Linked DNA regions of Caenorhabditis elegans. The protein of the gene in region 2 purifies or fractionates together with the protein of the main gene of each other region. This does not show direct contact. Each region holds a gene or a part of one and is shown on either strand. Other genes may lie near its edges.

Region 1 (3,176 bases), on a different chromosome or scaffold from region 2:
ATTTTGCAGATTTTTTTAGAGTTAGCCTACAGTACTCGGTCTCGAAACGGCCAAAACTATTTAAATACCGTATCCGCAAGTATTTGTTTTTAATTTTTCATGATCTCCTACAATTTTCCAAAAATGTATCGGTTTTTCCTTTAAAAATGTGGAATTTTAAGTGAAACTATTACAACAGATACAGGTGAAAATTGCGAAACACTTTTGGGTGCGGTAGCTGAAAAGTTTCCATCGTGCCGAGACCGGCTACCGTATTTTCGCATTGAAAATCTCAAACTTCTGCAAATGGGTAGTACCAAAATTGTGTCTCGAAAATGATAAAATATGCCAGAATCGAATCAAAAATGATTCCTAAGTCAACGTTTGAGCCCTCTTATGACATTTTCAGACGATGACAACTAGAATAAACTGTCATTTGACAGATGACTAATGGATACAAAGAGCCTTTTTGCCAAAAGTGTGTCACCATTTTCGAAATAAAATTCTCATTTTTCTCTATACTTTGTTCAGAAATCTACAATGATGTTTACGTAATACAAATGTGACGTCAATTCTATACAGATGAAAAAGTGATTTCGCAATGTGTATTGCTAACTGTTGGAGGTATTCCATTCGCTGGCCGAAAATAACGATGAGCATGAACATGAATTTGTTTGTGTCTTCTTCGTTTATTCATGAATCAAAAATTTGAAAGTAATAGCAAAAAAATATCAAAATCCGAGAGAAAACATGATTTTCTGGGAGGGGAGAAGAGCAACTTCGTAGACAATAGTTTGAATAGAAGTCACTACTCGGAACCGTCATACGAGAAAAATGAGAAGAAAATGTGAAGGAAATACAGAATTATTACAGAAAATGAGAAGATTTTTTTAAAGGGGCTTTGGGTTTCCATTAGAAGTATGAAATTTCCATTGTACAAGTATACACATTCGTCGGCGGATAATACATGACACTTTATTCCTTCTTTTCGACCTCTCCTCCATACACACTTTCGTCACTGTAGGCGATGTAAAGGAACAAGTCTTCCTCGTGATGGTCCTGTAATAAAGAAAAGGGTTAATTAAATGAAAATAAACGACTGGTTAGTTACCTGGTAGAGTTGTCCCATTGTGGTCATGGTTTGTGGAATGACATTGTTGACAAAGAAGAACAGAGCATCTTCTGGACGAAGTTGGATGCGTTTTCTGATGAGGAAGTAGAACTGTCCAACAGTAAGATCGGATGGGACCAAGTACTTCTTCTTATCCAAGTCATGGAGCTTTGACTTTGGTGCTTTCTCAACAATCACTGGAATACGGTCTGGGTACTTTCTGCGGATCTTGTCTCCTTCGGCACGACGCTTCTCAAAGTTGTTCTCCTCCTTGTAAGCCCACTTCATTTTGATTCGAAGGTTAGTGTGAAGAGAAGGTTACTGGAATAAAAATACTTTAAATCACAGAAAAATCATAAAAGAACCATGAGAGAAGAAAGGTGTAACAAGTGAGAGTGAATGAAGGTGACATCACATGGGTTTTGAGAGATTGACCGATTCGATAACACATTGCGAAATCTATATAAAATTGACGACGAGTACTAGTAAGGCAAAAAGAGCATGAGCAAGAATGGCCCGTGTGCAAGTGAGAGAGGGAGTGTGCGCGCACATCGGTCATATGAGAGCGCGTAGACGCAGGAGACATCCTATTGATTTTCTATGTTTGTCTGGCCTGGTTTTGTTGAGATGCAGAGAAACAGGACAAGTACAATGCAGCTGTTTAGAGGTTGTCGGGGAAACTGTAATTCTGGGAAGACTGAAAGTCGATCGATATATTAGTAACATTTATCCAATATTCACTAGTATCCATAACCAGTTTCTACGAATATTCTTAGCGCATTGTTCCAAAAAATTGAATTCTGAAAGACTTTAGTAATCAACTATTAACTAGATTAATATGACCGTTCAATAAATAATTTTGGTATGATTTAGCAATATTTTTAGATAGAATTGTTAAACCGTACATTTAATAGTCAAACTTGTGAAACATTTCTTAATTTCAAATTTCAAATCTAAAAAAGATTTTGATTTGAAACCGGTTTTTTAAACAAACCAACTAAAATTACAAACTTTTAAATAAAAAAGTACTGTCGCTACCGACGTCGCCAGAAAGTGAAAGAAATGGCAGAAAGTCGCAAAGAAGAGCGAGAGGCAAGACTGAACACACCAAGACGAATGGCACTAGCTAGAAAGAGAGAGAGATGAGAGAGGGGCGGAGACGACGAGACACCACGACTCAACATCATGTGACTGTGTCATACGGCGGCGAAACGAGACAGCAGGCAGAGGAGAGCAAGAGAGTATAGGGAAACATTGGATGGTTTGAGAGAAGTAGAGCAGCATGGTGTAGAATCATCGGGGTTTCAGGTGCCGATCGACAGATTGTTTGTTCTTAGATTCTTTTGATAGGAAATTTTAAACGTTAGAAATGATCAAAAGTGATAAAAGGTTAGAATAACAACTAGACAACAGTTGGTATTGAGTATGTTTTGCTATTAAAGGAACATAATATGCTAAAACTAAACGAAATAAACGATATATAACTACTATATCCATACAATAATATGTAGGTGGAAAGTGCATTAGCGACATAATTCTAAAATAAAGAGTTGGAGCAATGAGAGCATCATCCACATTCACAGCTGTCACCGTGACGTAGAATGTAATGAACTAGAAGAGGGCATTCAAGACCAGCTGGTAAAACGCTAGAACTGACAATATAAAACAAATCAATTAAAAGATCTTAAAGACATTAGGGTGCACTCCATGTAATCGATCAGAAAGGCAAAAATATAAAAAGGAACAAGATAAAAATTTGCCGGAAGCAAACCGAGAAAAAATATTAAAAAAATAACCAAACAATAAACCAAAGGTTAAAAATTTATAGACAGTCAATAGTGACGAAATGTTTTACACGGACAGAAGTACAATAATCAGAATAAAGCTATAAATATAAATAAATAAAAAATGATAGCTAACATGGAGAAACAATAAAAATATGAAAAACGCTTTTTTCTTTGAACCGTAAACAACGAAAATCTAAAAATTGCCGAATAAGTTCGCTTGTAGCCCAGGATGGAACATTTGGAAACTTGCTACTACGAAACATCGAAATGTCAGAAAAAATAAAAGTAAAAAAGTTGTA
Region 2 (3,758 bases):
TTCCAGTTCGGTTTTCAAAAGTCGGCGGCGTACAATTTCCGAAACACTCTGTGAATAAAGAATCGGTGCATCTCGAATCTGACCAATAAGATCCATGTGAATGCGAACTGCATTGCTTTTGTATTCGTACTGTACAATGTCGTTGAGAACAACGCGTAATCGATCGTAGTTTTGAACCACAAATCCAGACATTCTCGTTCGCAAATTTTTTAGAATTTCCTGTTTTGACTGATCAAAAACGCGGACCATATTTCGAAATTCTGAAAAGTTTTCGAAAATAGTCAGCATGCATTGACGGTGTTCTTCGATAATTGGTGGTAGCTTATTCTGGTCATTGATTTTCGGAGTTTCCAAAATTTGAGCGACTAGTTTGTGAACCAAGTTTTTTCTTTCTAAAAATATATGTTGTTATTTTAAGTTATAGGCCTAGTTCTAGTTTTTACTTACCTTCACAGCTTTTCAAACTAAACTCAAGCTGAGAAAATCGTTTATTAATTCCCTTGAAATCTCGATACTCTTGATTCTTCGACGTTTCATGTACAGATTGGAGCCTCGTATATACACTAATAGCATTTTGCTCCTTGAGCTGTCGAATCTTCTCATTAACCAAGTCAGGTAAACCATCAAGAGATGCTTCTGGATCAGCCATCGCAATAAAATCAAACAATGTACATTTTTCGTCTGGATTGATTGGAGTTGATGTGGAAGTCATCAAAGACGCTGGTTTCACAAAAATTTCCGAAGGAACTTCGATCCTTCGTAATTGTTCAACAACGTCGGAATAGTTCAACAGGAGTGTGTCCGACTTTTCAATGAGTTCTTCGCTTTTTGAGTGTACCAATTTGAACTTCTTTCCCCTTTTGTCCATTTTGCTGACAGATATATCCAGATTGTTAATCAACGCCAACCAACCCTGAAACGATTACCATTGTAAATTTTGGTAACTGGAATATCGTGAAAGGTAAAGATTCTTTCAAATAAATATTGATAATTAAAATTCTTGTCGAAATCCTACCTTATGTAAAAACCTATGCTGTTGGACCAGCCTGGCACACATTTGCAAAGTCTCTGCGCAGACTTTTCTACAGTTTTTTGCTCGTTCTGGCAGCTCCATGTAGATTTTCAGAGGGTCCTGATTTTTCAGAACGTATTGTGCCTGGAATACAAGATTGCTTTCTTATAAATGTTTTGAAAACAACTAACCTGATCAACAGCATCGTCAATCATCTGAAAAATGTACGTCACATCACTGCCGTTGTGGTTTTCTCTTTCGTTTCCAGATTTTAGAAAAAAGTACACTGGAGATGTTTCAGTGCCAAGAGTACTGATCTCTGCCAAACTTTTGTTACCATCCGGGGTAGTACCGCTTTCATCAAGAAAAGTCTGCAAATCCGTTACACGTTTTGACTTCAATAAATGACAAAACACATACCAGATCAGAGATTCGATGACCAACCTCCTTGGATACCATATCCTGTAGTACATTGAATGTTGTAGTTTCTGCCTGTAAGTTTACTATTTCATGAGTTGATAGCCAGGTTTTTAAACTTACATTTAAATCAAATACCATGGCCTGGCCCCTATCCATGTAGAATATATGATACATTATCATTTTTGAATCTAAAAATTTGAAACCTTAACTTTAAAGTCGAAAATTAAATTGGTATAACGAGGAAATCGAGTAAAAACAAGCGGCTTTGGGAAATAATCTGGAACGAGATAAATGAGCGAGAGAGAGTACAGAAAAACAAGAGAGTCGATATGGCAAATGACTGTGTGATGTTGCGTCAAATGTGGTGTTGCGGCTGCAAATCACGTGACGTACAGAGGCAGAAACGAGGCCGACTTGTGAGCGGAGACCCTCCTCTGCGAGGCAGAAAACGCTCCCTTTGCCTCTTTGTCGTTCTCTCTAAATCTCTTGCATCACAACGCACTTTTGCGTTGGCAGTGAGCGTTGTTGCACACTCACACGCACATCACTGACACAGGCATAGCCACGGCCCTCATATTCATCCCGTGAGTTGGGCAGAGATCGATGTTGAAATCAAGACGAGAATGATTTTGTTAGTGTAAAAAGGTATTTAGAGTGACCAGGTGTGTTTTGATTATCTTGATTTTTTTATTTCAAAATGCTATCAGTAGAACAATTTGAGACGCCACACTTCATAACTGACTGAAAGTAAAATTTTGAATTTTATGGCGAAGTACAAAGTTAGTGCATTGACATTTGTAGGTGGGTTGATCTCATCAATTCAACTACTGTTGAGATCGATTTCAAGGTTTCATGACTGAATAACTGACATTTTTCAACATGCTACAACATAGTTGGAGAAACAAATGCAGAACTCTAAAAAAAAGTATTCCTTTAGAAAAATTGGGTCTGACCACTGCAGATGGCCAAAAAGAATTAGTAGTTAATCTTTTACGATGAGAGCCGATTGGAGAACGGGGACCACCTGGCCGGATAGTGTTAGGTTTGAATATGGAGTATGGCCACTGGAGAACTGATTAAAAACCTGCCTATTGGAAAAGGAAAATATTAAATATTAAATAAAACGTTTCAAAACATTTTAGAATTTTTCACGTTTGTGTCAAAGTTGTAAAATCTTAGTTCGTGCCATTTTTCGCCAAAACTGTGGTATGTTTGAACTCCACCAATGTTGGAATATAAACATTTTCAACATAATTAAAGCATTATTTTCTTGAAAACCTACTTCTAAAAAATTGTTGAGAACTGAGTTTTCACCGTTTTTTACTAGAAACGAAAACATTTCCAATTTTTTTGAAACAGTTTATTACGATATTTGGTCCTTTCAGCACCATATGAATGCATGAAAGCTTGAGCTGCGTATTCGTGTTTCGCCCTTCAATTTTTAAAAACTAGAGTTTGTTTCTACACTAAGAATGAACACAGGCGCGACTCCACTCTTAAGACGAAATCAGCCCGATTTATAGAAATTTTTAAACAAAAAATGCTTTGAAAAGTTACATTTTTACAGTATGCTATTATCTTTGAAAAACAATAACTGAAATACAACTGACAAAATGTGAAACACTATTCAAGTACATAAGCGAAAACAGTTTACTTTTCTTAAAAACCACATGATTTCTGTCACCGACTTCGCAAACAATAATGATCATACTGAACTGTTTTACATGTACATACATTTTAAATAACTTATGATGTTGAGAAATAAAAACGATGAGTTATTAAACATTGATGGAGGCTCACCACAGGTTCAGCACAGAAATGCAAACGTCAAAATTAAGAATAGAGTCATCTAACTGTATGCGACAAAAACAGAAACAAACTAGTACAGGCGCCGACCGTCTCACATACACACATACATACATACTTAGAAAAACACTGGGAAGAACATTTCAAGTATCTTATCTGACCTCGGTCTTACGGTCCAGTAAATATTTTTGTTTTTTTTTCTCGTCTTTCAATGTTTGCTCTTTTGTTCAGATGGGTAGAAAGATACAGGTAATAATTGCGTTCGGGAACACAGAAAAATCACTGGGAAAATGATAAGAGAGATATATATATGATTATCAATAATCATTATTTTTGTATTATATTCAGTTCCGGGTGAGAATGGGAGTTAAGAGTTAAAAGTGAAAACTGTATGGTCTCGGAAAAAACGAAAAATAAGACTTGGCGCTTGAATCATATTGATGTCAGTGGGTAGAACGTTTAAAATTACTTTTTTCATTATAAAAAATACCAATTATTGTAATAAAATTTCAAAGTAGTT
Region 3 (3,758 bases), on a different chromosome or scaffold from region 2:
GTTAATGCAAGTAATATTTTATTAAATTTAATTTCAATAATAGAATAAATTTTTAGTTTTTTTTTAAATTTGTTTCCTAATGATTTTATACAAAAAAAACCTTTTCTTGTTTGGAAAAATGTTAGAAACTTTTTTTAATTGGAAATTTTAAATTTTTGTTGCGTCGGGTCTCGAAACGATAAGCAGTGCCGGCAAGAATTCCGTCATGCGCCTTTAAGATTACGGTATTTTTTGTTTTCGATTATTTTTCTTTTTTTTTATTAATTTCAACTATTTTCGGCGTTTTTTTCGCTTCTAATTCGATTTTTCTTTTATTTTTTTTATCAAAAAACTTAAAAATCAACAAAAAACCGATTTTCTGCTGAGTTTCGTTGATTTTCGTGATTTTCAAGCCTCAAAGCCCAGACTTTACAGTAAAAATCGATAAAAATTCGACAATTCTGATCCTAATCGAAATTTCAACTTCATAGTAAGACTTTCATCTGTACTTTACAACAAAAAAACCACCCTCCCGCCTCTGAAAACGATGTTCTCAGGGTCAAATCATGTGATTTTTCTGTGTCTCACTTTCTCTCTCTCGATAATAATGGTTGGGGGGGGGGGGGGGGGGGGGAGGCACGCGGCGTTAAAATGACAGTTGCTTTTATAATTTTTTTAAAAAAGCTCTTAATTTAACAAATTTTTTATAGTTTTAATTCAAAAAAAAAATCCTTTCTTTTGACAAAAAAAATAATTTTTTCATTATTTAAACAATTATAATAATAGAAAAACTAAATATTTGATTAAAAAAGCTCGCTTCATCGAATGGACAGGTGGCCTTAATCCGACATCTGGCATTTATTAATTTGTATAAATGAGCAAAAATTTTGGGTTTGTGTGGGGTTTTTCTCCAAATTTCAACGAAAATTGTAGTATTTATTTAAATTCAATAATTTAATTTTTGAAATTTCTCGAAACAAATTACTTAAATAGGCCTAGGCTTAGGTTTAAGCTTAGTCCTGGGCCGGCTCTGAGGCACAGGCTTAGGCTTAAGCTTAAGCTTATTGTTAGGCCTAGACAATTTAGATATTCCCGCGCAAATAAATGACCTATTTTTGCTATTTTTTCGATTTCCGGTTATTTTAGTTCAGTTTTTTCTCGTTTTTTTTTTTAATTTTTAAGGTAATTTTCCAATTTTTCAGACATTTTTTTCGCTAAAAAACTTTGAAAATGGCCGAAACTCAAAATTTGCTCCAGAAAATCGATAATTCAAGCATAAATTTGATATTTTTCCAGAAAAAAGTATGAAAAATTATTATTTGGCAGACTTTTTCTGTGAAAATGAACTATTTAACTGTAATTTATCGATTTTCTGGGCAATTTTAGGGTTTGAGCAAGGTTTTTTGGCAGAAAAATGACTTCAAGAATTGGAAAATTATGTTTTAAATTATTAATTAACGGAAAAATGAAGTATTTTTTAACGAAAAATTCGAAAAAAACTTTTTTTCTGTAATTTTTAAAAAAAATCAATTTTTTTGGCAATTTCTAAAATTTTATCAGTTCAATTCTCCTGTTTTCTATTACAAAACCTATTTATTTTTCTTCCCCTAACCTTCTCTCCCCTTCAAATACCAGTTCTAACAGTCACCACCCGCTGTTCACGTGCCCCCTCCCTCCCCAGCTGCCGTGTTCAATAGAGCGCGTTTGCATTTGCACCCCCCACCGCGTGAGCCCAGTCGATGAAATTGATCGATTTTTCTTCGTTTTTCTCGCGTTTTCTCGTTTTTTATTCAAATAAAATTTTTTTTCTCATTCAGACCCATCAAATGTTCAACTCACAGTCAAAACGGGCATATCAGGTAATTTTTTTTTTCGAGAAAAACTATTTTAATTGATTTTTTCTCGAAATTCCAGCAAATCGACGACGATTTTGATGATGAAGTGCTGCGTAACAGTACGTGTACGTCACGATTTATGCAAGGATGGGGCTCATCCACAAGGTCACTGCTTTTTGGAGGCGCTTCCAATGATGAACAGAGGAATTTGTGAGTTTTTACGGCGAAAAATTCGAATTTTGACCGAAAATTCGAGATTTTCATGTTTTTCTAGTGCAAAATTCGATGAAAAACACTAAAATTTAAAATTTCAGAATCGCCAGCTCCTCGTCCCATCACTCGTATCACGATTCACCTGCCGAGGAGCCACCGGTACGGATTTTGACCTGAAAATCCCCGATTTCTGCTGAAAAATTGGAAAAAAAGGCTGAAGAAACACTATTTTTTTAGCAAAAAGTCAAATTTTCGACAAAAACTGAAAAATCGAACATATTAGCGTTTTTTTTAATCGATTTTCTGGCCACTTTTTGCTAGAATCTCGTGTGTTTTCAGTGAAATTCGCTATAAAAACCGATAAAAATGTCCAGGAAACCCCCGAAAAAATATCGATTTTACAACTTTTCTGTACTTTTTGTCAAAAAAAAACCCACGAAAATGTTTTTTTTTTTTCAAGATTTTCAAAGTTTTTAGTTGAATTTGACAAAAAAACGTCCAGAAAATTGCAAAACCAACTTGAAATTGTGTTAAATTAAAAAAAAAAACCGAATATCCACCAATTTTCCCCGTTTTTAAATAACAAATGCCTCAAAAATTCGCAAAAAAACTCATTTTTATCAGATTTTCCTAGTTTTTTTTTGGTTAAAGTTCAAGAAAAAACCGATTTCCCATCAATTTTCCCCGCTTTAAAACCAAAAAATCCCTCAAAAATCCGCAATTACTTTCAGGAAACTCACTACGAACAATTCACGGCCACCCACAATCATGGTCCGCCAACAATGGCTTCATCGTCACAGCTAAACTCTCGACGATGGGACCACGTACTGAATTTAGACGAATTTTTCACGCATATCTACGAATATCATCAGAATGGCGGTTATTTGTGCATTGTTTTGCAGAAAGTGTTCAGTTTATTACAATTTATATTTGTTATGGTGAGTTTTGTGTCGAAAATCTGCCATTTTCTGGGCGTGGCGTGGCAATTTCAAAAAATTTAAACTATTTTTGACTTCCCGCGCAAATTTATTGCGTAGTTTTGGCGTTTTCCGACTAAATTTTATAATTTTTAAATATTTTTTTCATATCTTCGGCCTTTTTTCCGAAAAACTGTAAATTATTTTGAAATTATCGGTTTCTAGGTCAATTTTAAAGCTTTTTCAGGAAAATGTCTTAAAATTCCCGAAAAACGCCAAAAATGTCGATATTAAGTGACTAAATTGCGCGGGAAATCAAAAAGTCGAAAAATTTGAAATTCCGCCTTTTCTTCGCAAAAAAAGGTGAAAAACGAAGAATTCAACACATAAAACCAATAAATAGGCGGAGCTTATTTGAGAAAACTAATAATTGACAGATTTTGACTTTCCGATAACGAAAATTCAACAAAAAAAAATTAGACCAATCAGTGATTCGCTCCGCCCACTTTTCAACCAATCAGATGGAATGGGCGGAGTTCGAAGATGTTGATTGGTGGGGGACTTCTCATTTTAGAGGGAATTTTGAAAAAATTGAAAAATCTCAAAAAGATTTTTAAAGGTGGACTAACGGTTCGAACGATTTTGAACGTATAGACCCAAAATGAGCTCAAATGAACGAATTTCGTAATGAAACTGCTCAAAAATTTTTCAAAAATTTTTTATGGCGGTTCAAAATTTTGAAAAAATTACACTGATTTTATCTGAAATTACGAATTTTCCCCATTTTTCCGTGTCACATCTGTCCGAAGTTAGC

The links.
Region 1: the proteins of epg-7 (region 2) and lgg-1 purify together in Caenorhabditis elegans (affinity purification with western blotting, with the first as the bait; 2 studies listed by BioGRID). This does not show direct contact.
Region 3: the proteins of epg-7 (region 2) and atg-9 purify together in Caenorhabditis elegans (affinity purification with western blotting, with the first as the bait; one study listed by BioGRID). This does not show direct contact.

What each region holds. Positions count from the first base shown.
Region 1 is NC_003280.10:6,346,309-6,349,484, forward strand, and holds lgg-1 (Protein lgg-1), read right to left. Parts: upstream 1,412-3,176; 5' UTR 1,379-1,411; coding exon 1,091-1,378; intron 1,039-1,090; coding exon 955-1,038; 3' UTR 652-954; downstream 1-651. UniProt on the Caenorhabditis elegans protein: Ubiquitin-like modifier involved in the formation of autophagosomal vacuoles (autophagosomes). When lipidated mediates tethering between adjacent membranes and stimulates membrane fusion during autophagy. Recruits lipidated-lgg-2 to maturing autophagosomes.
Region 2 is NC_003284.9:7,332,633-7,336,390, reverse strand, and holds the start of epg-7 (Autophagy-related protein 11 C-terminal domain-containing protein), read right to left. Parts: upstream 1,678-3,758; 5' UTR 1,613-1,677; coding exon 1,553-1,612; intron 1,505-1,552; coding exon 1,433-1,504; intron 1,384-1,432; coding exon 1,204-1,383; intron 1,157-1,203; coding exon 1,016-1,156; intron 914-1,015; coding exon 448-913; intron 393-447; coding exon 1-392.
Region 3 is NC_003283.11:347,580-351,337, forward strand, and holds the start of atg-9 (Autophagy-related protein 9), read left to right. Parts: upstream 1-1,805; coding exon 1,806-1,838; intron 1,839-1,893; coding exon 1,894-2,024; intron 2,025-2,128; coding exon 2,129-2,186; intron 2,187-2,758; coding exon 2,759-2,965; intron 2,966-3,758.